Macaca mulatta: one gene and its partners. The protein of the gene in region 6 purifies or fractionates together with the protein of the main gene of each other region. This does not show direct contact. Links are inferred from orthologs where the notes say so. Each region holds a gene or a part of one and is shown on either strand. Other genes may lie near its edges. The genes, in order: DPF2, SMARCD2, SMARCB1, SMARCA2, SMARCD3 and BCL7C.

Region 1 (2,984 bases), on a different chromosome or scaffold from region 6:
ATCTCTGGAATGGCATGGGGGTAGGAGCAGTGGAACTTCTGCTGTGCTCTACTCCTCAAAGTCCTGGAGGCTGCCTTTACCACTGCTTGTCTCCCACAAACCTACTCCTAGAGCTGCTCAGCCCAGTGCATGGGGTGGCTTCAGAAGCATTATCAGGAGCCCATTACAATCAGACCCTTCCGCTCCCTCCCCAGATCAGGCACCTGGTGGTCAGCTCATGTTCCCCACTGCCCCACCACCTCCTGCCATCCTCTCTCCCCATTCCTTTCCTGCTGGCCCCCTTGCCCTTCTTGGTATTACCTGTCAAGATGACAGAATGCCTCGTGGGGATCTGCTTTCCTTGCTGATTGGCAGGCCTGGACAGGGCAATTATGTGGGAGTGTGTTTGAATTTCTCTGGGGACAACTGCCCAACTGGCTTCATTGATAGGATATCCCCAAGAAACCCACCCCTGCTTGTTTACGCACATTCAGAGGAGATGGGCTCCATGGTCTCTGTGGGGTAGCTGAGCCTCCCACGTTTACTGATGGGTAAAAACGTTTGGAGTTTTATCCGCTTTTCCCCCTTCTTGCCACACCAAAGACTTATAGGAATATCCTTCCCTTTCCTGACCTGGAGCGTCCCAGACTGTTACTATATCCCAGAGCAACTAACTAGTGATGGGGCGAGGGCTAAGCCCCCAAAAGTCAACATGGAAGAGCAGTGGTGGCCATGGGGTTGGAGTTTAGGAGGTAAAAGAGTCCCAGAGGCTAGAGAGCCCCAGGGCTTGATGCTCGTGGCTGAGGGAAAGGGGCCATCACTTAAGGCCTGTCCCAGAGTAGAGCTGCTAGGGGAAGGGATGGTTGCCCTCTGCCTCAGGTGGAGCCCCCACAGTTTGCAGGGGTGGGGACATGTTACTCTTGTATCCTAACACCTTTCTCTGCAATCTTCTCCCCACTCAGTTTGTGGAAAACGTTACAAGAACCGACCAGGCCTCAGTTACCACTATGCCCACTCCCACTTGGCTGAGGAGGAGGGCGAGGACAAGGAAGACTCCCAGCCACCCACTCCTGTTTCCCAGAGGTCTGAGGAGCAGAAATGTAAGCTGAGGTGTCAGAAGTGGTGGGCAAGCAGAAGTTGGCCTGGTTATGAAAACCACTCCTTGCATGGGTGTTGAGTGGCTCAGGGACCCCATGGGCGTCATCAAAAGTCTTTCTCTCTGCAGCCAAAAAGGGTCCTGATGGATTGGCCTTGCCCAACAACTACTGTGACTTCTGCCTGGGGGACTCAAAGATTAACAAGAAGACGGGACAACCCGAGGAGCTGGTGTCCTGTTCTGACTGTGGCCGCTCAGGTACTGCCTCCCGTGAAGGCTGCTGCTGTGCCCAGTCCCCAAGGGGCTCTTGGCTTGCTGGCCTCTAGTGCTGTCATAACCAGCCCACCTCACTTTACCTAACCAAGAGAAGATGTAGCCACAAGCAGGAGCTCCTCTCTTCCCCCTGCATTTCCAACTGTCTGTCTCACTCACTTCCCCCACTATAGGGCATCCATCTTGCCTCCAGTTTACCCCCGTGATGATGGCGGCAGTGAAGACGTACCGCTGGCAGTGCATCGAGTGCAAATGTTGCAACATCTGCGGCACCTCTGAGAATGACGTGTGTATCCCCGCCCCCTCCTCAGCATGGCTCCTTCTGGGCTTTTACTGCTGTTTGCACAGTTCCCTCTAAAGTGAGCTTTCTTTTTTTAAAAAGGGAGCAAGATCCCTCCTACATGCCACATGCCCCTCCCTAGCATCTCAGTCAGAACTCTGATTTGTTGCCAGATAATATATATATTGAGTGCTGATTTTATGTCAGACACTGTTCTAGGCACTAAAGATACTAAAGACAAACAAGGTCCCTGCCGCATGAGATTTACATTCTTACAGGAACAACAATAAGCAAGGATGTGAGATTTGTATAATGTGCCATGAAAAAAATGAAACCAGTAATGTGGCAGAGAATAATTGCATAAGTGATTTATTTTGATGGTGAGGTTTGGCTCTTCTGGGAGGGGGATGCTGGTGTTGAAATTTTGTGATACCAAGGAGCCAGTCAAGCAGATTTGGAGGTAGAGCAGTCCCAGGAAAGGAGCAGCCAGTGCCAAGGCCTTATAGTGGACAAGCCAAATGATAGGGCATGGGAGAGGATGGCGGGGGATGAGATGAGAGAGGCAAGCACTGCCAGATCTGTGGGGCCTTGGATTTTATTCTAGGTACAATAGGACACTGTCAAAGGGTTTTAATCAGGGAAGTGACATGGTTATTTATGTATGTATTTATTTATTTTATTTATTTATTTTTTTGAGACGGAGTCTTGCTGTGTCGCCCAGGCTGGAGTACAGTGGCACGATCTCGGCTCACTGCAACCTCTGCCTTCCAGGTTCAAGCGATTCTCCTGCCTCAGCCTCCCAAGTAGCTGGGATTACAGACACGTGCCACCACATCTGACTAATTTTGTATTTTTAGTAGAGATGGGGTTTCTCCATGTTGGCCAGGCTGGTATTGAACTCCTGACGTCCGGTGATCCGCCTGCCTCAGCCTCCCAAAGTCCTGGGATTATAGGTGTGAACCACCGCACCCGGCTGTTTATTTATTCTTTATGTATTTATTTTTTTATTTTGAGACAGAGTCTCTCTGTCACCCAGGCTGGAGTGCAGCGATGCAATCTTAGCTCACTACCACCTCTCCCTTTAGGCTCAAGCAATCCAATCCTTCCACCTCAGCCTCCCAGGTAGCTGGGACCATAGATGCACACCACCATGCCTGGCTTCTTTTTTTTATATTTTTGATAGAGACAGGGTCTTGCCATATTGCTGAGCTGGTCTCAAACTCCTGAGCTCAAGCAATCCTCCCACCTTGGCCTCTCAAAGTGCTGGGATTACAGGCGTGAACCCACCATGTTTGGCATTGTCTTATATTTTATTTTATATTTATTTATTTATTTCAAGATGGAGTTTTACTGTTG
Region 2 (4,029 bases), on a different chromosome or scaffold from region 6:
TGGACTCAGGCAATCCTCCTGCCACAGCATCCCGACTAGCTGGGACCATAAGCGCACACCACCAAGTTTGGCTAAATTTTTTTGGGTTTTTTTTTTTGAGAAATTATGGTCTCACTATGTTGCCTAGGCTGGTCTTGAACTCCTGATCTCAAGTAATCCTTCTGTCTGGGCCTCCCAAAGTGCTAGGATTATAGGTGTGAGCCACCACATCCTGCCCTGGAGGGTTTTTTGTTGTTGTTTTTGTTTTAGGTTCCTCTGTTAACTGTGATCCACAGCCAGAACCACCCTCTGGAGGAAGGGAGGTCATCACTTCCCTTCTTTCAACTATTTGTTCAGCTTGGGCCTCAAATTCTCGCTTTTCCAGCACATCTCATGAGCCCTAACAGACAGGAACCCCTCTGTTTCCCAGATCTCAAGTCCCCCCTGGAAGTCATACAACTGGACTTGGAAAGAGAGCAAGTAGGATCCTCTTCAAACTCAGCCAAAGTTAGCTGGCTGGGTTCTCTGTACCATCTACCTCTCCTGCCAGGAGGAGGAAAGCTAGTGGGATGGGAAACCCAGACTCAGGGCCATCTCCTACTTCCCCACAGCTAGCAGCCCAGGCCTAACCAGCCAGCCAGCTTGGCCTTGCCACAAGCCCAAGGCCACCCCCCACCAAACATGTGGAATCCATTCTCTTAGGGGCTGTCTCAAGGGCACATTTCCTATGACTTTTTGCATGCCAAGGAAACTGGAGCGGCTTGTCTGTTCCAGGTCCTTCCAAGGCCAAAGGCCCACAGATGGTGCCCAGGCCAGGTCTCAGTGGGCAGGCCCAAGGGCTACAATGACTGATGCAGGGAGCCCTCAGCAACACCCTGGGCCCATGAATCCCCAAGGGGGAGAGTAGGGTGGGAAAGATGAGCCCCAGCTGGAGTCCCTGGGACCAGGTCTGTCTCTGCCCATATCCAGACTCTGTTTTCTCTTGAGAAAGGAGGAAGAATGAGGAGGAAGAAGGGAAAAAAATCCAGTCACTGTCCCTAGTTAAGCCATCTCCTTAGATGTGAGGCCCAGTGGGGCAGGTAGGCTGTGTATACTCCACGAGGATCCCTAAGGACCTCCGCCTGGAGACAGGAGTCGAAAACAGAGGAAGCCCACAGCAGACCCTGGGAGAAGCCAGTGTCAAATGCTGGGGCATATGGCTTCGGATGTGGCGGAGTTAGAACCTGAAGGCCAAATAAAAATGCAGAGAGGATGATAAGGCAGATGGGCACAGTTTCCAAGCCTGCTGGTGCAACCTGAACAGCAGACTAGGGGACCAGCAGGGTCAGGCTGAGGTTCTCACACACTGAGCAGAAGTCGCTGCCTTCCAAGGGCTTTTGAAGCTGAAACCTGAGCAGCTCTCAAAACCCCAAAGGGGTCAGGACAGCACTCTTTGAAGCAACTCTCGCAGACTCCTCGGGCCCCAGACCAGCAGGGTTCCACTCTGCACGTCCAGACTAATCAACTACCCGACACGATGACAGGAGGCAGAAAGCCCAGAAGAGAGCCGGCCTGTGACTAGGCTGGGCCTCCCCTCAAGCCTGGCCACCACCGTCTCTGGTCTAAGCTGGAGTCCTCCCCAGCGAAGGCGCCTGGCCCTGCCTCTGGAGTAAAGTCCGCCCGTGCACAAGCTGGAATGAATCCCCTGGCCCTAGCCTCAGCGTCCCGTGCCCGTGGGAAGCCAGGCTCCTTCCTCCTCATTAGCAGCCGGGAGCCATCTCAGACACGCTAGAGCTCGGCCAGTTCGCAACCAGAAAAAACAGGGCAGACTTGGAGTGGGACCAAGGCCGATGCAGGGTAACCCCGGTTTCTCAGCGAGGGCCCTTTCCCAAACTTTCTCATCACTTTCTAGCCCTCCTACCCTAGACTTCTCAACCCACCCGCCCACAATTCACTGGTTCCCCAAACTCCTCCATCTCCCAGTCACTCGGAATCTCTGTGCCGCGGAAGCCCCCAGGCCTCCCAGCTGGTTCCAGCCCTCCGCTGCAGGACTCGCTCCCCCTTCCCCACTCCTCCACCGCCACCCGCCGCAGCCCGAGGGATCTGGCCCGCCCTCCACCGTCTCCCAAAGTTCCTCATGCATTCCCCAAGGCCCTCACTCGAGGCCCCCTCAGCCCCCGGCCCGGGCGCCCTCGCGGCGCCGCACGCCCCCGTCCGCTCGCGTCCTCCCTACTCACCTGGTACTGCGCCGCGGGGCCCGCGGGGCCCATGGGGCGGAAGGCGGCGGCCCCGGGGCCCCCCACGCCTCCAGCCGGACCCGGTCCCCGGAGCGCCGGTCCGGGCAGCATGCCGGGTCCGGCGGGGGGAGGAGGCGCTCCCAGGGCCGCGGCCACGGCGCCGCCGCCAGGGCTTAGCGGGGGCAGCGGGAACCCGCCCGCGCCTCGGCCCGACATCGCTCCGTCCCGTCCCGCGGTGCCGCGATCCGGACTCCGGGCTACGCGTCGAGTCCACTCCGCGCTCTGTACTCCGCGATCCGGGACTTGGCGATCTTAATTCCGGGTTCCGGGATTTGTCGATCCGGGCTCCGGGATTTCCTAATCCAAGTTCGCGAGTTCCTCACAGACCCGGTTCGGGACAGATTCCGCTCCTGCGCCGGAGATTCCGGATCCAGGATCTGCTGTGGGCCCGCCTGCCGCCCCCGGACTCCGGAGGTTTGGCCGCCCGAGTCGAGTTACCCAGAGGCGGCTACGAACTCCCTGCCCCGCCCAACCCAGCCCAGCACTAGGCCCCGCCTCTACCTGGTGCCCAATGCTCGAGTGCCTCCTTGAATCCCGCCCCTCGCGAGACCCGCCCCCAGCAGGCACCGCCCCTAACCGCCGACCTCAGAGTCCCACCCCCCACCTTTGGCCCCGCCCTTCATCGGAGGGGCGGGAGCGGAAGCTGCGCGCGGAAGCGCCGAGTGAGGCGCGGGGTCAGAGGTCTAAGGTCACGTTGAGGCTTCACAGTGAATGAGCAGTTGCTACTACTCTTTCCCGGTGTAGCAGCCTCACCGAAAATAGTTTTGTCAAGTCTCCTTTCTGCATCTTCCACATTAAAGACCCAACTCAGAGTCGGTAGCGGTGGCTCACGCCTGTAATCCCAGCACTTTGGGAGGTTGAGGCGGGTGGACCACCTGAGGTCAGAAGTTCGAGACCAGCCTGGCCAACATGGTGAAAACCCCGTCTCTACTAAAAATACAAAAATTAGCCGAGAGTGGTGGCTGGCGCCTGTAATCCCAGCTACTCGGGAGGCTGAGGCAGGAGAATCGCTTGAACCCGGGAGACAGAGGTTGCAATGAGCCGAGATCTCTCCACTCCACTCCAACCTGGGCGGCAAGAGTGAAACTCCTCAAAAAAAGAAAAAAGACTCAGCTGCTCTCTGGGGCAGAACAGCAGCCAACTCAACTTCCTGTAAAAGCTCATCCTGGTAGCTCGGAACTGCCAAGGGACCTAGGAGGCTCCAGACTTGACCCAGCTGGTGAATGGTCGACTTGGCCAAGGCTGAGCTCTTACAGCACATTTTTAACGTGGCTCTGCCTCACTATAAGGAAGCCTGGTACTTTACTCCCCAGCAAATGCTTCTAGTCAAAAGAAATTTGGCTTATGAGAAACCTCCCCGCAGTTTAAAAAGAGGTCTTTCTCTAGTATTTATAGCACTTAATTTTCAAAAATGCAGTATCTTTTCAGATACACTGTGCTGTATCAAAGTATTCAAAAATGCTTCAGCTGTCCCTTTGATGGTCTGGGTCTCCTCACCGTGATACGGCCCAGTGCTGCTTAAACCCTAATGAGCACATAAAAAACACCCGAGGCTCTTATTAAAAATGCAGATTGTGGCAGGGCCCAGGACTCTACATTTCTAACAAGCTGCCAGCGATGCTGTTGCTTCTTAGACCATACTGTCAAGAAGCCAGGATCTAGACTTTTTTTTTTTTTTCTTTACTATAATTGGTTTATTTTTCAGCCCCCACCAAGTAATGCTTCCTTTCTTGCATCATAGCACCCCAGATATTTTTTATAGTTTTCCAACGCT
Region 3 (3,500 bases), on a different chromosome or scaffold from region 6:
CCTGGACTGCCCCTCAGTCTCTCCTCCCTGCTGCTGCCTGTGCCCCTCCCCACAGTGAACCCTGACTTGGTGTCTAAGGCTCTGCTCTATTGTCCACCCCTTGTACAAGCCTCCCCCTTGTACCACTTCCCGCATCTCCAGGAAGTGCTTCTGTGGAGCCATGCCTGGCTCATAGTGCAGTACACCATGGCCGTGGGTTAGCAACTGACCTGCGTGCTGGGCTGTGTCTGGTGCCCCTCCATACCCTTGCCCTTGCTCAGGTGCCTCTAGCATCTGATGACAGCCTGGGGAGCAGGCTTCTGCAAAATCAGGTGCACAGACAACTCCCACGGGAGCCTCGAGCCTGACAGAGGTACAGTGGGCATCCCCTGAGCATGAGTTGATTCCTGGTGGGCAGGATCAGGCTCCTAGACTGACTGGGGGGACTTTTCTTGTATCTCCCCAGGGAACAGAAGGCCAAGAGGAACAGCCAGTGGGTACCCACCCTGCCCAACAGCTCCCACCACCTGGATGCCGTGCCATGCTCCACGACCATCAACAGGAACCGCATGGGCCGGGACAAGAAGAGAACCTTCCCCCTTTGGTGCGGATGTGTCGCTGCGCTCACCCTCTGCCCTGATTCTCCCTTAGTTCTCCAGCACATTTCAGTCCCCTCCTCCCCAGAAAAACACTGCTTTGACCTTGTGCTCCCCACAATGCTACAGTACCTCCTTCTCTTTGAACCACTGTGTTTCCCTGACCTCCAGGACATTGTCTGTAGCCTCTTTGGCTCTGTCTGCTGTCACCTTGCCGTGTCCTCCTCACCTCTCTGGCCCCTCAAGTGGAGTTACTCGGGGCGCGGTCCTTGTGCCCTTTCTCTGCCCTCAGTTTCACACGAGTGGGTCATAGCCAGTCTGACGGTTCACATGCCATCCACGTGATTCCCACCGCGCCACCACTTCCCAGAGGCTGCTGGAATAAACCACCACAAACTGGTGGCTGCCAGCAGTGCACAGTTCTTCCCTCACAGTTCGGGGGCCCAGGAGCCCAGATTTGGTTTCACTAGACCAGATGCATGTGTAGACAGGGCCGTGCTCCCTCCAGAGGCCCTCGGGGCGATTCGGTCCTTGCTGCTTCCGGCTTTGGGGGCTGCCACATTCCTGGGCCTGTGGCTGCCTCACTTCAGTCTCGGCCTCTGTGGTCACGTGGCCTTCTCTGCGTGAAATCTCCCTGTCTCTCTCTTAGAAGGACACTTGGTGATGTAATTTAGGGCCCTTCTGGTTAACCTCTCAGGATGTTTCACTTAATCGCATCTGCAAAGTTTCCTTTTTTGGCCATATGAGGTGACAGTTATAGGTTTTGGGGATTAGGCTGTAGATGTCTTCGGGGTCTGTTTTTTACCTCTGCAGCCCAGACTTCCTCAGCTGCCCTCACCCCCTCAGCCTCATGCTGCCTGAAGACTTCTCCATCTCGGCGCATGGAGATCCAGCCGTCTCCTTGCTCAGGCTGTAGCTTTCTTTCCCAAGGCCTGCCTTTTCCTCACACAGCAAGTCCAGTCTCTCCAAGGTCCCACCCGGGACTGCCTTGGCCAGCCCCCCACTGCTCTCCCTGGGGTCTCTAGCAGCCCCTGCCTCCCCTCCCTGTTGCCTTCTCAGCTCTGCAGCTGGTGTGTCCTCTGCTCCAGGCATATCGTGTCACCTCTCCACGCACAATCCTCCAGGCTCCCCATCACCCTCGGAGCAGAAGGAGGAGTTCTCACTGGGGTGCCAGGCCCAACCTGGCCTGGTGCTGCCACTGCCACACTCTGCCCCACTCACTCTGCCTCAGACCTGAGATCGCCCTCACTGCTGTCAGACCTCCCAGAGCTTCTGCCCAGCAGTTGCCTCTGCTAAGGTTTAGCCCGTTCTCCTTCCTCCCCTCTTTCCTTTCTTCTTTCTTTCCTTCCATCATTTCTCCTTCCCTCCTTCCCATCCTTCCCCCTCCTCCTTTTCCTTCTCTCTTCCTTCCCTCCATCTCCTCTTCCCATCCCTAGTTGACTGTCCCCTTCTCCCTTAGAGTGGCCACCCCTTTCCTCCAGCACCCCTACCCCTTTCCCTGTCTGTTTCCCAGCGCATTCATGCCTGGCACTCAGCTCGTTTCTCTCTCTCTTCCATCTGCCTCCCAAGATCGCGGGGGCCCTTCTCAGCCCTCTCCATGCTCCCAGACGCCCTTAGGTGTCCTCTGTCCTCCAGCTCCATCTCACCAACCTGCCTGCCCAACTCTTCCCTCTTTATCTTCCCAAAATACTCAACTCCATTGCTTGGAATCCTCCTGGGACTCCCTCAGGGCAGTGGCCAGTTTGTGTAGCCTGAGAGGAGAACTGTGGGTGCTTCGACACCCGCTAGCTTTGCAGCATCCCTGACCACTGCCCCCCATGGAATCTGTGCTCTGTGGTCTGTTTGTGCGTCCTCAGCAGTTCCTCCATTCACCTGCTTTGGCCTTACTGGAATATATCCTCTTCTAGAAATGCTATTCTGCTTGCCTACAGCCTTCTGTGAAAGTCCTGCCAAATTTCAGGCTTAAATATCCCTTCACAGGACATCTGGGTTTTGTTCCAGCACTGCCCGGGTCGATCCTATTGCAGACAGACTGGTGCTTGTCATTTATGGACCCACCTGTCCCCATTAGACCATGGCCCTGGGACCCCTGCTGCCTCAGCTGTTAGCTGATAAGTGACCATGTTCCCCAGATGGGTTTGCAGAGGCCTGCTGTGCAGAGAGGGAGGCTGAAAATTTGCATGCCTAGGGCCCTGGCACCCTCACTGACTGTTGCTTCCATTTCACTTTCAGCTTTGATGACCACGACCCAGCTGTGATCCACGAGAATGCATCTCAGCCCGAGGTGCTGGTCCCCATCCGGCTGGACATGGAGATCGATGGGCAGAAACTGCGAGACGCCTTCACCTGGAACATGAATGGTACAAGGCAGTCGGGCTTGGCTGGGCCTGGCCCCAGCCCCTGTGTGTTACGTGGGAACAGTCCCCTTTCCTACCAGCTGCCTGTCAGGCAGATTCTGGACCTGACATGCGGGACATCGGGGCATAGTTTTGGAGGGTGTGGGCTCTGGGTTCAGCCCTGGTTCTGTTGCTGTTCACTGTGGGTTGGGCATGTGAACTTCGGACTCCTTTCCCCATACTGAGGTTGGGGGGCCCAAGGGGCCTGGCATGGGAGGTGGCTGGTGTGCATAGCATGGATGATGATGACAATGCCACTTAGACCTAGTTCAGCCCCCGAGCCCTGCACACACCTGCCTTGGGTCCTGTCCACCACCCTGTTTCTGCTGTGTGAGGCTGCATGTGTGCCCCGTGCCTCTCTCCTCCCCTAACTGGTCATCTCTTTAGATATCCTCACTCTGTAAGTCCTGGGTCAGGTGCCATCTCTTCTGGCTCTTCCTGGGCTTCCAAAGCCTGAACAGAACTCAGTCTTTGTGCAGATGTAGACAGAAAGGTTAGAAGGGTATGCATCCCAAGTGTCTAGACTGCT
Region 4 (3,500 bases), on a different chromosome or scaffold from region 6:
AGCTACATTTTGTATTATATCATGAACTTATTTTAGATCATCACAAATGTAATACTTTTATCTGTATTGCATGCTATGTGGTGGTAGGGGGTAGGGACTGGAGAATACACATTAAATAATCATTCCACTGAATCTGAAATCATCATTAGTTACAGTTAATTTAATTGGGAAGCTTCATAAATAACAGATTTTTAAAATAATATCAAACAAAAATCAGAAACCAATAAGAATCCAGCACAGCAATGCTAATTTGAACATAAACTTATTCCTGAAAATATACTTGGTTAATATTCATTTAGTGAGATTTTATCCAGCACTTTATTAATTCATCTTGTGAGGTCACCAATAAGAAAGAAGTAAACAGAACTCAGAGAATTTTCCCTCTTCTTTTTAAAATTTAAGCTGAAATCTACTCTCACAAACCAAGGGCCAAGTAGCACCTACTCACCACTAATGTCCATCTGTGATATTATAGCCAGTAAGGCAAATATACACCCAAATTCCTACAATAGCAAGGGGAGTGGCCTGTGATTTTACTCGCATCCTCCAACAGACCAAGTCAATACTTCCAAACTACTTTTACTCATTAATCATTCATTTTGCATGTTCCAGGCTTTAACAAAACAAACCCATCTGACTAACAATGAAAGGCTCCTTCTCCCCTTTGGCTTAGTGAGGCAATCTGTGGACTAGCAAACTTGAACATTCTGAGTCCACAAGGCAAAACTCACCAAAGTGAAAAGTAGCTCTAATTCATTCCACTAGTCTCTTACTAATTTAGAAATCAGAAAATAGGTCATTATACTGGCTTTTAATAACTACTGTAATGACAAGATAATTTACAGATTAGTCACTGTATGAGCCTGATGTGATTAAACACTCCAAACTCAGATATTGGTGAATAAATAAGCTGTAAGACACTGTTTTATGTATTTCTATAAATGATGAACTAATTCTGTAGAGTGGCTATCATATTTGTTAAAATTCTTTTCACAGTCGTGGCTAGCACTTAACATCTGTGCTTACGAAGAAGCTCCACTCTACTACCTTCTGGTTTTTCCTTGGAGTCATAAAGGCAAACATGAGCTACCCCACTTGTTCCCAAGGTTTTTCATCCATGGTAACAAAATGCCATAACTCTTGACTTTGTAAACCATAGTACAGGAGGAAAAACTCTTTCCCATATACAGAAGAGAAAACCAGAATAATAAGCAGTTCATCTTCATTATTTTTAGTTGTAAGCTGTTGGTCTAAAAGATTCACTATTTTACTATGTTTCTCTCTTTATATCTTTATAACAATATCGAATAGACTAAAGGCAACACAGATAACACTTTAGGAACAATTACATTTATTTCCTACATCTCAGATTCACTGGGGAAAAGGTATTACCTGACGCTGGAAATTGAGTAACCGAAGTGCTTTTAGTTCCACGGTTGCTTTGGTTCGTAAATCTGGTGGCAAAGAGCCAGGCAGATTTTCCAGTTCTTGTATCCTATGAGCTATGCGGGCCTGAAGTCTGAAGGAAACAATAAAACGGGGAAAAGGGGGCAGTGGAAAAACACATTACAATTTAATGTTACATGATAAACAATGACATCAGGTTTAAGTTCAGGGCAAAACATATTCCAGATACTGATAGTTGATTTCTGACACCCAACTAGAATTTTTGATGTTAAGCAGAGAAAAGCTACCTTTGTATTAATGCAGACAGGTATATGTTAACTTAACAATGTGGCTTCCTCCATAACCCCTATCTAACACCAGGGAAAGAGGGTTCACCCTGTATCTAGTGGGGAAGTCAAATGTCCTTGCTCGCTCTTAGCAGAGAGAGAAATGAGAGACAGAAACAATTGACTCGCTTCCTAACTCCCAGCCGGACAGAATGCAGAGCTGAGAGGACACACTTTTTTCTAACTTCTAGTTCTGTCCTAAGGCAACCGGACCATTTGTCTTCTTTGCCAAGATGCCGATGACGAACAGCCATTAAAGCGGAGAGAGCAAGAACGGTTTTAGGTGCTGATGCCACAGAAATCAGCCAACCCTAAACATTCAGAAAGCGCTCTGCCAGCCACAGCCACTTCCTCCGTGAGCAGAGCTTGCTTGAGAAAAGAAAATACAAATGAGGCTGTTTTTAAAAAATCAGGGCCAGCAGTAAATAGTACTCAAAAACCAAGAGTTTCTAGAAAAGGATGTTGAGGATTCTCGTTTTACACACCATCAAAAATATAACTGCATGTACTTCCGCATAATAAAGGCAGAGTAGAAAATAAAAGACCTCTCACTTTAGCCATTCACTTGGGATACTATTACTGTTAGATATATAAACTGCTGGTTTTAGAGTTCACCTGAATCCTATTCTGACAAATAATTATATGCCATTTAAGCCTGTTTTTAGAACTACATCCCCTAAATTTGAGGCAAACTGTACTGAACTAGATTTCAACAAAGAAAGAATAATGATAAAATGAGTAATAAGTTAAACTAGGTTAATATTAACAGAACTAAGTGCCTTTAATGCATAATTTTATTTAATTGTCTCTCTCTTACACACACAGACACGCCTCTCTCTATAAGGTAAATGTTATAATGGTCCCATGTTACTGATGAGGAAAACTGAAGACACCTGGAGATACCACAGAGCTAGTAAAGAAGGGGGCCAAGACTGGAACCTCAATTTGCCTGATACCAAAACCACTGCAATGAAACGGTAGATAATTAAAATATACTTTCTGAGAACCTTCCTGGACCTCAACTATAAAAGTTGAAAATTAAGAATTCTGTTTAAAATTATGCACAGCCATTAAAAAAAAAAAACAACCAAATCATGTCCTTTGCAGCAACATGGATGCAGCTGGAGGCCATTATCCTAAGCAAATTAATGCAGGAACAGAAAACCAAATACCGCATGTTCTCACTTTTAAGTGGCAGCTAAACATTGGGTATTCATGGACATAAAGATGGCAACAATACACACTGGCGACTACTAAACGGGGGAGGGAGGGAGGGCAGCAAGGGTTGAAAAACTTTTAGGTACTATGCTCATTAGCTGAATGATGGGATCCATTGCACCCCAAACCTCAGCATTATGCAATACACCCATGTTAAGAAACCTATTCATGCATCCCCTGAATCTCAAATAAAAGTCGAAATTATCTTAAAAAATGAATATTACAGTGTTTTCCAAACATGATGGTGTTGCCAGACTACAGAGCTGAGAGGACAGACTTTTTTTCTTTCTAACTTCTAGTTCTGTCCTAAGGCAACCAGGCCATTTGTCTTCCTTGCCAAGATGCTGATGATGACAGGCATCATTTTCATTAACATGAAAAAGTAAAACCTCCTGGTCCTAAATGCTGTAGGAGATCTAATACTTCATATAGCCAAATATCAAAATGAGTGATTTTTTGTAAAAACCTACAGTTGCTTAGTTTGGAAGGGAAATAAAATGTCATCATTTTTAAAAATTTTAAAATGGTGGTAAGGAAAACTATTTTTCA
Region 5 (3,500 bases), on a different chromosome or scaffold from region 6:
TGTCAGGACCATAAAGATCTTTGTCCAGCTCGATGACCAAACTCTTGAAGAAAGAAGAGAACTTCCGCTTCTGTTTGCTGGGCTGTGGGAGAGGAACAGGAACCATGGGGGCAGAACAGGGACAGGGTGGGAGAAGCAGAAGGAGGCCAAGTTGGCAGCAGACAGGGCAGTGGGCTTAGATGAAATCCTCTGCACCTGGAATGTCTCTAGGCCTGCCCCCACCTCCCCAGCCTGGGCTGACTCCCTAGCCCTTAGTGCAGACACTTTGTTCTGTTCTCAGTGCAGCCCGTGCCCACCCCAGGACACCTGGAGAGACCTGGGCCGGGACGTACATCATCCAGGAGCTTCCCCTCCACCCGTAGCTCCCAGGAGGCAATGCTGCCATCGGAGTCCTCAGCGTCAGGCTTCGCAGGGTTAAAAGTGTTGGAGATATAGAGACGCAGCTTCCGCTTTTGCTGTAGAAATAGAGTGTAGAACCTGGCAAATGCTGTGTGCTTCCACCCTGACTACCTTGCTTCCCCATCCTGGTCACGCGACTCAAGAGTCCCCTTCCTACCCCCGAACTAAGGCACCTTCATGGGCCTCTTCAGAGCCTCCTGGATGTCCACCCGCTTCCGCATGATGGTTTGATCCAGTTTCCTCTCAAATGCCAAGAGGTCCATGTAAGCCTGGGACTCGGGGACCAGCTCCCGAATCTGGAGGAGGAGGAGCAGGGCAGGAGTCAGAGGCTCGAGTCCAGGGTTGTACCATGGAATGTATGCATGTTGTGCAATCCTAGGGTGCAAAAGATGTCGGGGGAGCCATCCTACTTCTGGGCATGGAGCTTTGACAGTGGGAACAGGACCTCTCCCCAGGATGCCATTATCCAGCAGTAGGGGCCTTGCTGTGTAGGGATAACAATTGCTTCTCCCTTTAGGAAGAGCCTTGTGTATCATCACGGGGAGGAGGTAGCAACTGTGGAACCCAGCAAAGCACTAGCCTTTAGTCTCCTCATCCTGTCATTTTCTATGTCATATGCCCACTGGGCTTCCCCTGGGCCCCTGCAAAGTGCCTAGTAGGGGCTCAATCCCTGGGACAGTTGGACAGCAGTGCTTTCTTCTTTGCTGGCACATTGCTCAGCCCCCACACCTGTCCCAACTGTGCTGTCCCCCATATCCAGCTGGACCTGGGTCCCTTTAGGATGCTCAGGATCTCTGGCCACCTTCTATCCCCTTCATTCTGCCTGGCAGCTTTTGATCCCCTAGCTCTTGCCCCCTTCTTGTCCCACAACTCTGTCTTAGTACCACTTGGATCCAGCCCCCTGACAGGCCCCTGTGTTCTGGCCCCAGTGGCTCTGCTGCTTCCCTCCACCTCACCCCCTCCCTCTGGCCTAGGGAGCCTCACTTACTAATGAGTTTTTTTAAACAAAAAGTGAAAGTGACTGTGACACTGAAGCTCTGCTTTTGAGGGGGGAGGGGAGGGCAGAGCAGCAAAGGGTAGGGGGTGGGCTGGGGGCTGCTGTGAAAGACACTCACCCTTTGAGGGAGGATTTTGTCAGCCATCTTCCTCCTCTTGGCACTGTACATTTTTTAAAGAAAAAACCAGGTTACCATGGCGACAGATCTGGGAGTAACGAGGCCACCTGCTAAATTATCCCGACATCTCCGCCCGCCTGGCTGGGGTTCCCACAGCCCGCTTGTCTGCCCGCCCAAGGGCTATGACGGTGGTGTGTGGAACTGGTGCTCTGTCCTCTCTAAGGACACAGGGGTGACCCGTCCATTCTCTGGCCTGGGAGCCCCCTTCTAACCTGCCACATCCTTAGGGACAGAGAAATTTAGACTTAGGAGGGACTGGCGAGTGGGGGTGGTGCTGCCAAAAGATGGGAGCTGCAGAAGTGTTTGAGGAAAGGTGGGGATGAGGGAGGACAAAGGAGAGGGAAGCCAGGTCTGAGGACCTTTTCTGGAAAGCAGGGGGTGCCCTGTCCAAAGGATTCTAAGCTCAGAGGGAGGGAGATAGACGACTTCCTTCCTATCCATGGAGCGGGAGGTGATGGTGTGAAGCTGGCGGGACTTGCATCCCTTCCAGGCACCCTGGGCTTGCAAGAGAATGCTGATGAGCAGGGGTACTCATGCCCTGGGACTACCTGGCAACAAGGTGAGGGACATGCTGCAGCCATAGGCGCCCAGAATGTGCATGGGTGTGACTTCAGGCTGAGGCCAAACTGACTAGGCCCAGGGTAGTAGCAGCTGGATGTGAGCTCTTTCTGACCCACTAGCTGCTGCTGACTAACCCAAAAACCCCCAGAAAAACCTTGGCGGGTCAAGAGATGAAAACGCAGCCTAGAGAATAGCTCCATACTGCCCCCGTGTGGTGTTCTCAACCACTACCCCCTCCCTATGCAGAAATCTAAGGCTAACAAGCAGATTTCATTAAAGGTCTGGTTTGTTTTAGACAGATTATCTTTGTGTAACTCTCCATTTATACAAGATAAATCAGGGAATTACCGTTTGCTGTACAAAATGACGATGCACTTTACAAAATAATTCATCATGGGATTCCTATAAGTGGTGAATTTTACCTGATGTGTAAAAAATACTTAATAATGAGGTAAAATTGATATTACACCTTTTATAGAAATCCATCTGTTGTGCAAAAAAAGCATGTGTATTTGGCTAAATACTGAAATCCAGAGGGGCACTGCTGTTGCCAGGAGCCAGCAGGGGCTTTAAGGGTGCCACCAGCTGCTGGAGGAAAATAAGGCAATGGGCTGGCCCTGGTGGCTTGGGAGCAGACCTGGTCCAGAGTGCCTAAGAATTAAGAGCGGAACTGGGCAGAGACCACCTACCACAGGGCAAATCCCCAAGCTCCACCCCCAGGGCCAGAGAGTCCCATTGAGAAAATCTGGAGTGGCTTTGAAACAGTCCGGGGTCTGGCAGGAAGGCTCAGCGGAGAACTACACTTTGGGCAACACAGTCCTACAGCTCTGCCCTCAGTCCCACTGGAAGCCCCGCCCCCAACCCAAAGACTGAAGCATCACCCAGAACCTGATGGGTGGAGAGAGGGACTGAGCAGGTGACAAGGAGAAGGGTGAGGGGAACGTGCAGGGAAGCGGTACCGGCTGCCGACGGCCACAGCCTGTCTCTACCGTGGGCACACAAAAGAATCAGGCCGGTGCCCCCTAAGCCCACCTCCCCAGAGGGCATCCGATCCGGGAAGCCTCGCTCCCTGCTAATCATTCTTCCTCACCTCTTCCAATCCCCGCTACTCTCTCACCTGGTCCCTGCGGGTCCCCAGGGCCCGCCCCTGCACGCCCCCTCCGCGCCGGGCCTCCCACTCACCTGCGGCTCCGCGCGGGGGCGGTGGGCACCGGCTGGCCCTGGCTCTGTGCCTGGCTCTGCCCGGGCGGGGGCGCTGCTCGCTTACGGGCGGGCTCCATGCCCGCGGGGGCCAGGCCGGGTCGCACGGCGGGGCTGCCCATGTAGGGGGAGCCCGGGGGGCCCATGGGCGCCCCCTGGTGGGGC
Region 6 (4,292 bases):
TAAATAGTTATTGGGCATTTACCATGTGCTGGGAACTGTTCTAAGAGCTATACACACATTAACTAATTCCTATGTTATAGATGCGGAATAGAGAGAAGTGACTTGTTCAGGGTAATACAGTTGGGTGTGGCGCAGCTGGGATTTTACCTAAGCAGCTTGGCTCAAAAAATGCTGTCCTAATCATGCTCCTAACCCCTTATACCCTTAACCTCGGGACATGGTCACGCCCAAACTCACAGACACAACAGGCACATCTTGAAACACACACACACACACAGCAGCACAAATTTTGACATGGTCTTATCTGCTGACAAGCCAGCCTCAAATAAAGTCAACCAAGACACACTCACTTTCTTTAAGTAATGCACATTTTATTTAAGTCATGTGATGGATTTTCACAGAGTACATATGCCCAGGGAACCAGCACCGGATCACACAACAGAACTGGATCAGCTCCCAGAAGCTCTCCCCTCATCCCCTCCCAATCCTAAGGGCGACCACTATCTTGACTTTGGTGCACTTTAAATTAGTTTTGTCTGGTTCTGAACGTAATACACCTGGAACCATCTAGTATGTACTGTTGTATTTGGCTTCTGTCACTCAAGATTTCGTCATGCGACTTGTCTATGTTGCTGGGTGTAGCCGGGCATGTCACTCCCGTTGCTGTGTCTATGTGCATGGTAATGAGTAGGGCATCATTCATTTTCCATTCTGTTGATGGGTTATTTCCAGTTTGGGGCTGTTATGAAAGGGCTCTGAACGTTCCCAAGCACCCTCTTGGTGCTCACACCTACACATTTCTGCTGGGTGTTGACAGCCTAGGAGTGGAATTGCTGGATCACAGAGGTGGCATATGTTCGGCTTCACTAGAAAACTGCCAGTTCTCAAAACGTCTCTACCAATTTACACTCCCCCAGAAATACAAGAGAGGTTCAGTCGCTCTACTTTCTCGCCTCCACATGGTGCGGTCTTTTTCACTTTAGCCATTCTGGTGGGTAGAGACCTACTCGTATTCGCAGCGCCTGGCGCGTAATTGGCGCTCAGTTAACAGGACTGTTGAATGAATGGATGAATGAGTGTTGGGCGGTGTAGACCGAGAGCCTGGCGAGGGCGGACACACGCACGCACTCCACACACAGCGTTTCGCGGACACCCACCGCGGCGCACGCACCCCAGGACACAGACCCTCTCGAGCACCCCGCGCCCACGTGGTCTGAACGCACCGCCTCGGCCCTGCCTCGCGCGTCCGGCAGCCGAGCAGTACCCAACTCCCGCTCTCGACGGCGGGCAGGGGGCGCTGCGCGTCCAGGCGCTCCGAGGGGGCGGGCCCGGGTCGGGGCGGGGCCGGCCGGGCTTCCAGGCCTGGGCTCTGGCCGCCCGCGCCACCGGGCCGCTCCGGGGACGGGCCGGGGCGGGGCACGGCGGCAGGAAACGGGGCGGGGACTCGCGGAGGCGTTGGGGACGAGAGAGGGCGCGGCCAACTCCCGGGGGGACGGCAGGCCGAGAGCGCGGCGCCCGGGCCTGGCGCCGAGCCTGAGCCCGCCGGACGGGAGGCGGCCCCGCCGCGGGCTCGGCTCCGGCCCCAGCCCCGCCAGCATGGCCGGCCGGACCGTACGGGCCGAGACCCGGAGCCGGGCCAAGGATGACATCAAGAAGGTGATGGCGACCATCGAGAAGGTCCGGAGATGGTGAGCGCTGCCCGGGGGCCAGGGACGGGACACGGCGGGACCACCACCACCTAAGGCGTCTAAGCTGCCCTCGCCAGCTCTGGGCCCCGGTGTTCGCTGTATCCCCGCCCACTAGCTTTGCCCTGGATCTGTCCCCGTTCCCCTGGCTACTCCTGGGGGTCTACAAAGCGTGGTCCCCAGTCGTGCTCTCCCAGAGTGGGAGCCCCCGTTTGTGCCCCGCCCCCTAAAGCTTTGACACTCCTTCTGCAAGTGCGCCCCGAGATCTGCAGGTCTCTGATCCCGGGCCAGGCCCATAGCCACGCCCCCCGTGTGTGCCCCAGGGGTCCGCAGAGCCAGGGCCCAAATCATATCCTCTGTCTAGAGGCACCCACCGCCTGTGCCCTGGGGTTTGCAGGGCTCTCTTTCTCCATGTAACTATGCCCCATTAGCAAAACTGTTGCTACCCTCCTGTGCCTCCCCAACCTCTGCAGGTACCCCCAGATGTGTCCGGCTCCTGGGGGGGTGGGTCTCCCCTCAGGCCTCTCTGACCCAGTCCCCCACCCTCCCACAGGGAGAAGCGATGGGTGACTGTGGGCGACACTTCCCTTCGTATCTTCAAGTGGGTGCCAGTGGTGGACCCCCAGGAGGAGGTGAGCAACCCCCATTCCCACAAGGCCCTGCATCTGTGCAACCTCAGGCAAGCTCCTCCCCACCCTGACCTCTACCTCCAGCTCCCAGAGACCTCAGATGCAGCAGGACAGACAGATGGGAACCATCATTAGCAGCTCCTCCCCTTTTTCCCTCTTTTCTGTTCCACACCCTGAGTTCGAGCCCTTTTGCTTCTCAGTGCCTCAGTTTCCTTAGGTGTATGGTGGGGCTTTCCAAGAGCTCTGACCCTAATCCTCTAACCCCCAGGAGCGAAGGCGGGCAGGTGGCGGGGCAGAGAGATCCCGTGGCCGGGAACGTCGGGGCAGGGGCGCCAGTCCCCGAGGGGGTGGCCCTCTCATCCTGCTGGATCTCAATGGTAGGTAGGGATCCTGAAATGCGGAGGGCTGTGGGGACTGAAGGAGTGTATTAGGGATCTCAGGCCAACCATCTCGGCTCTTGCTCCCACAGATGAGAACAGCAACCAGAGTTTCCATTCGGAAGGTTCCCTGCAAAAGGGCACAGAGCCCAGTCCTGGGGGCACCCCCCAGCCCAGCCGCCCTGTGTCACCTGCCGGACCCCCAGAAGGGGTCCCTGAGGAGGCTCAGCCCCCACGGCTGGGCCAAGAGAGAGGTAGGACCAGGTACCTCCCAGGAGCCCTCTCCTCTAAGTCCTGTCTTCTCCAGAGTCTAACCTACCAGCTTATCCCTATACCTGCTCCCCATCTTGTGCACCTTCCTCAAGGTGCCTTCCGACTCCTGCAGAATGTCTCTGTAGTTGCTGTCTCATTCCTCTGGTCTCTTAGGATCTATAGATGACATATCACTGTCTGAGACTTTCATGTAAATTAATTTTTTACTATCTTTCTCCTCACTCTCATGTCAGTTTCCTGAATGTTGGGCCCATATTAATCCTTTTTTTTTTTTTTTTTTTTTTTTTGAGACAGGGTCTCACTGTGTCACCTAGGCTGGAGTGGTGCAGTGGTGTGATCATAGCTCACTGCAGCCTTGAACTTCCTGGGCTCAAGCGATCCTCCCGCCTCAGCCTCCCAAGTAGCTTGGACCACAGGCATATGCCATTTGTATTTTTTGTAGAGGCAAGGTTTCACCATGTTGCCCAGGCTGGTCTCAAACTCACTCACTCAAGCGATCCTCCATCTTCAGCCTCCCAAAGTGCTGGGATTACAGGTGTGAGCCATCACACCCATACCCGCCCCCCCCTTTATTTTTTTAGAGAGAAGTTCTCTGTCACCCAGGCTGGAGTGCACTGGTGCAATCATAGCTCACTGCAGCCTCAAACTCCTGGGCTCAAGGGATCCTCTGGCCCCAGCCTCCCAAGTAGCTGGGGACTACAGGTGTGTGCCACCACACCCAGCTAACTTTTAAATTTTTTGTAGAGTTAGGGTCTCGCTATGTTGCCAAGGTTGGTTTCGAACTCCTGGCCTGAAATGATCCTTCTGTCTCAGCCTCCCACGGTGCTGGGATTATAGGCGTAAGTCACTGTGCTTGGCCCTATGTGATCTTGTTCACTACTGTATTCTCAGAATAATATGGGACACAGAGTAGGTGCTCAGTAAATATCTGTTGAGTGAATAAATAATAGTGATAGTCATAGGGGTGATTAATAATAACAGGAATAACAACAGTATTTATTGAGCTCTTACTGTGTGCCAGGCGCCCTGGTAAACACTTTACATGGTTGGGTTTTTTTCTTTTCTTTTCTTTTTTTCCTTTGAGTTTCACTCTTGCCCAGGCTAGAGTGCAATGGCACAATTTTGGCTCACTGCAACCTTCACCTCCCAGGTTCAGGCAGTTCTCCTGCCTCAGCCTCCTGGGTAGCTGGGAATATAGGCATGAACCACCATGCTCGGCTAGTTTTATATTTTTAATAGAGATGGGGTTTCGCCATGTTTTGCCAGCCTCGAACTCCTGACTTCAGGTGGTCCGCCCACCTCGGCCTCCCAAAGTGCTGGGACTACAG

What was found.
Region 1: the proteins of BCL7C (region 6) and DPF2 purify together in Homo sapiens (affinity purification with mass spectrometry; 4 studies listed by BioGRID and IntAct, counting the BioPlex papers as one, with this or other methods). This does not show direct contact. The link is inferred for Macaca mulatta from reciprocal best matches to the Homo sapiens genes BCL7C and DPF2.
Region 2: the proteins of BCL7C (region 6) and SMARCD2 purify together in Homo sapiens (affinity purification with mass spectrometry; 3 studies listed by BioGRID and IntAct, counting the BioPlex papers as one, with this or other methods). This does not show direct contact. The link is inferred for Macaca mulatta from reciprocal best matches to the Homo sapiens genes BCL7C and SMARCD2.
Region 3: the proteins of BCL7C (region 6) and SMARCB1 purify together in Homo sapiens (affinity purification with mass spectrometry; 7 studies listed by BioGRID and IntAct, counting the BioPlex papers as one, with this or other methods). This does not show direct contact. The link is inferred for Macaca mulatta from reciprocal best matches to the Homo sapiens genes BCL7C and SMARCB1.
Region 4: the proteins of BCL7C (region 6) and SMARCA2 purify together in Homo sapiens (affinity purification with mass spectrometry; 4 studies listed by BioGRID and IntAct, counting the BioPlex papers as one, with this or other methods). This does not show direct contact. The link is inferred for Macaca mulatta from reciprocal best matches to the Homo sapiens genes BCL7C and SMARCA2.
Region 5: the proteins of BCL7C (region 6) and SMARCD3 purify together in Homo sapiens (affinity purification with mass spectrometry; 3 studies listed by BioGRID and IntAct, counting the BioPlex papers as one, with this or other methods). This does not show direct contact. The link is inferred for Macaca mulatta from reciprocal best matches to the Homo sapiens genes BCL7C and SMARCD3.

What each region holds. Positions count from the first base shown.
Region 1 is NC_133419.1:9,052,471-9,055,454, reverse strand, and holds part of DPF2 (zinc finger protein ubi-d4), read left to right. Parts: intron 1-941; coding exon 942-1,079; intron 1,080-1,204; coding exon 1,205-1,333; intron 1,334-1,521; coding exon 1,522-1,634; intron 1,635-2,984. UniProt on the Homo sapiens protein: Plays an active role in transcriptional regulation by binding modified histones H3 and H4. Is a negative regulator of myeloid differentiation of hematopoietic progenitor cells. Might also have a role in the development and maturation of lymphoid cells.
Region 2 is NC_133421.1:73,636,762-73,640,790, forward strand, and holds the start of SMARCD2 (SWI/SNF-related matrix-associated actin-dependent regulator of chromatin subfamily D member 2), read right to left. Parts: upstream 2,801-4,029; 5' UTR 2,412-2,800; coding exon 2,118-2,411; intron 1-2,117. UniProt on the Homo sapiens protein: Involved in transcriptional activation and repression of select genes by chromatin remodeling (alteration of DNA-nucleosome topology).
Region 3 is NC_133415.1:27,980,383-27,983,882, forward strand, and holds part of SMARCB1 (SWI/SNF-related matrix-associated actin-dependent regulator of chromatin subfamily B member 1), read left to right. Parts: intron 1-445; coding exon 446-583; coding exon of another isoform or gene 584-637; intron 638-2,807; coding exon 2,808-2,935; intron 2,936-3,500.
Region 4 is NC_133420.1:97,412,973-97,416,472, forward strand, and holds part of SMARCA2 (SWI/SNF-related matrix-associated actin-dependent regulator of chromatin subfamily A member 2), read right to left. Parts: intron 1,520-3,500; coding exon 1,393-1,519; intron 1-1,392. UniProt on the Homo sapiens protein: ATPase involved in transcriptional activation and repression of select genes by chromatin remodeling (alteration of DNA-nucleosome topology).
Region 5 is NC_133408.1:190,675,212-190,678,711, forward strand, and holds part of SMARCD3 (SWI/SNF-related matrix-associated actin-dependent regulator of chromatin subfamily D member 3), read right to left. Parts: coding exon 3,318-3,500; intron 1,558-3,317; coding exon 1,515-1,557; intron 696-1,514; coding exon 573-695; intron 456-572; coding exon 333-455; intron 83-332; coding exon 1-82. UniProt on the Homo sapiens protein: Involved in transcriptional activation and repression of select genes by chromatin remodeling (alteration of DNA-nucleosome topology).
Region 6 is NC_133425.1:29,522,544-29,526,835, reverse strand, and holds the start of BCL7C (B-cell CLL/lymphoma 7 protein family member C), read left to right. Parts: upstream 1-1,492; 5' UTR 1,493-1,596; coding exon 1,597-1,688; intron 1,689-2,238; coding exon 2,239-2,317; intron 2,318-2,582; coding exon 2,583-2,691; intron 2,692-2,783; coding exon 2,784-2,945; intron 2,946-3,532; exon of another isoform or gene 3,533-4,129; intron 4,130-4,292. UniProt on the Homo sapiens protein: May play an anti-apoptotic role.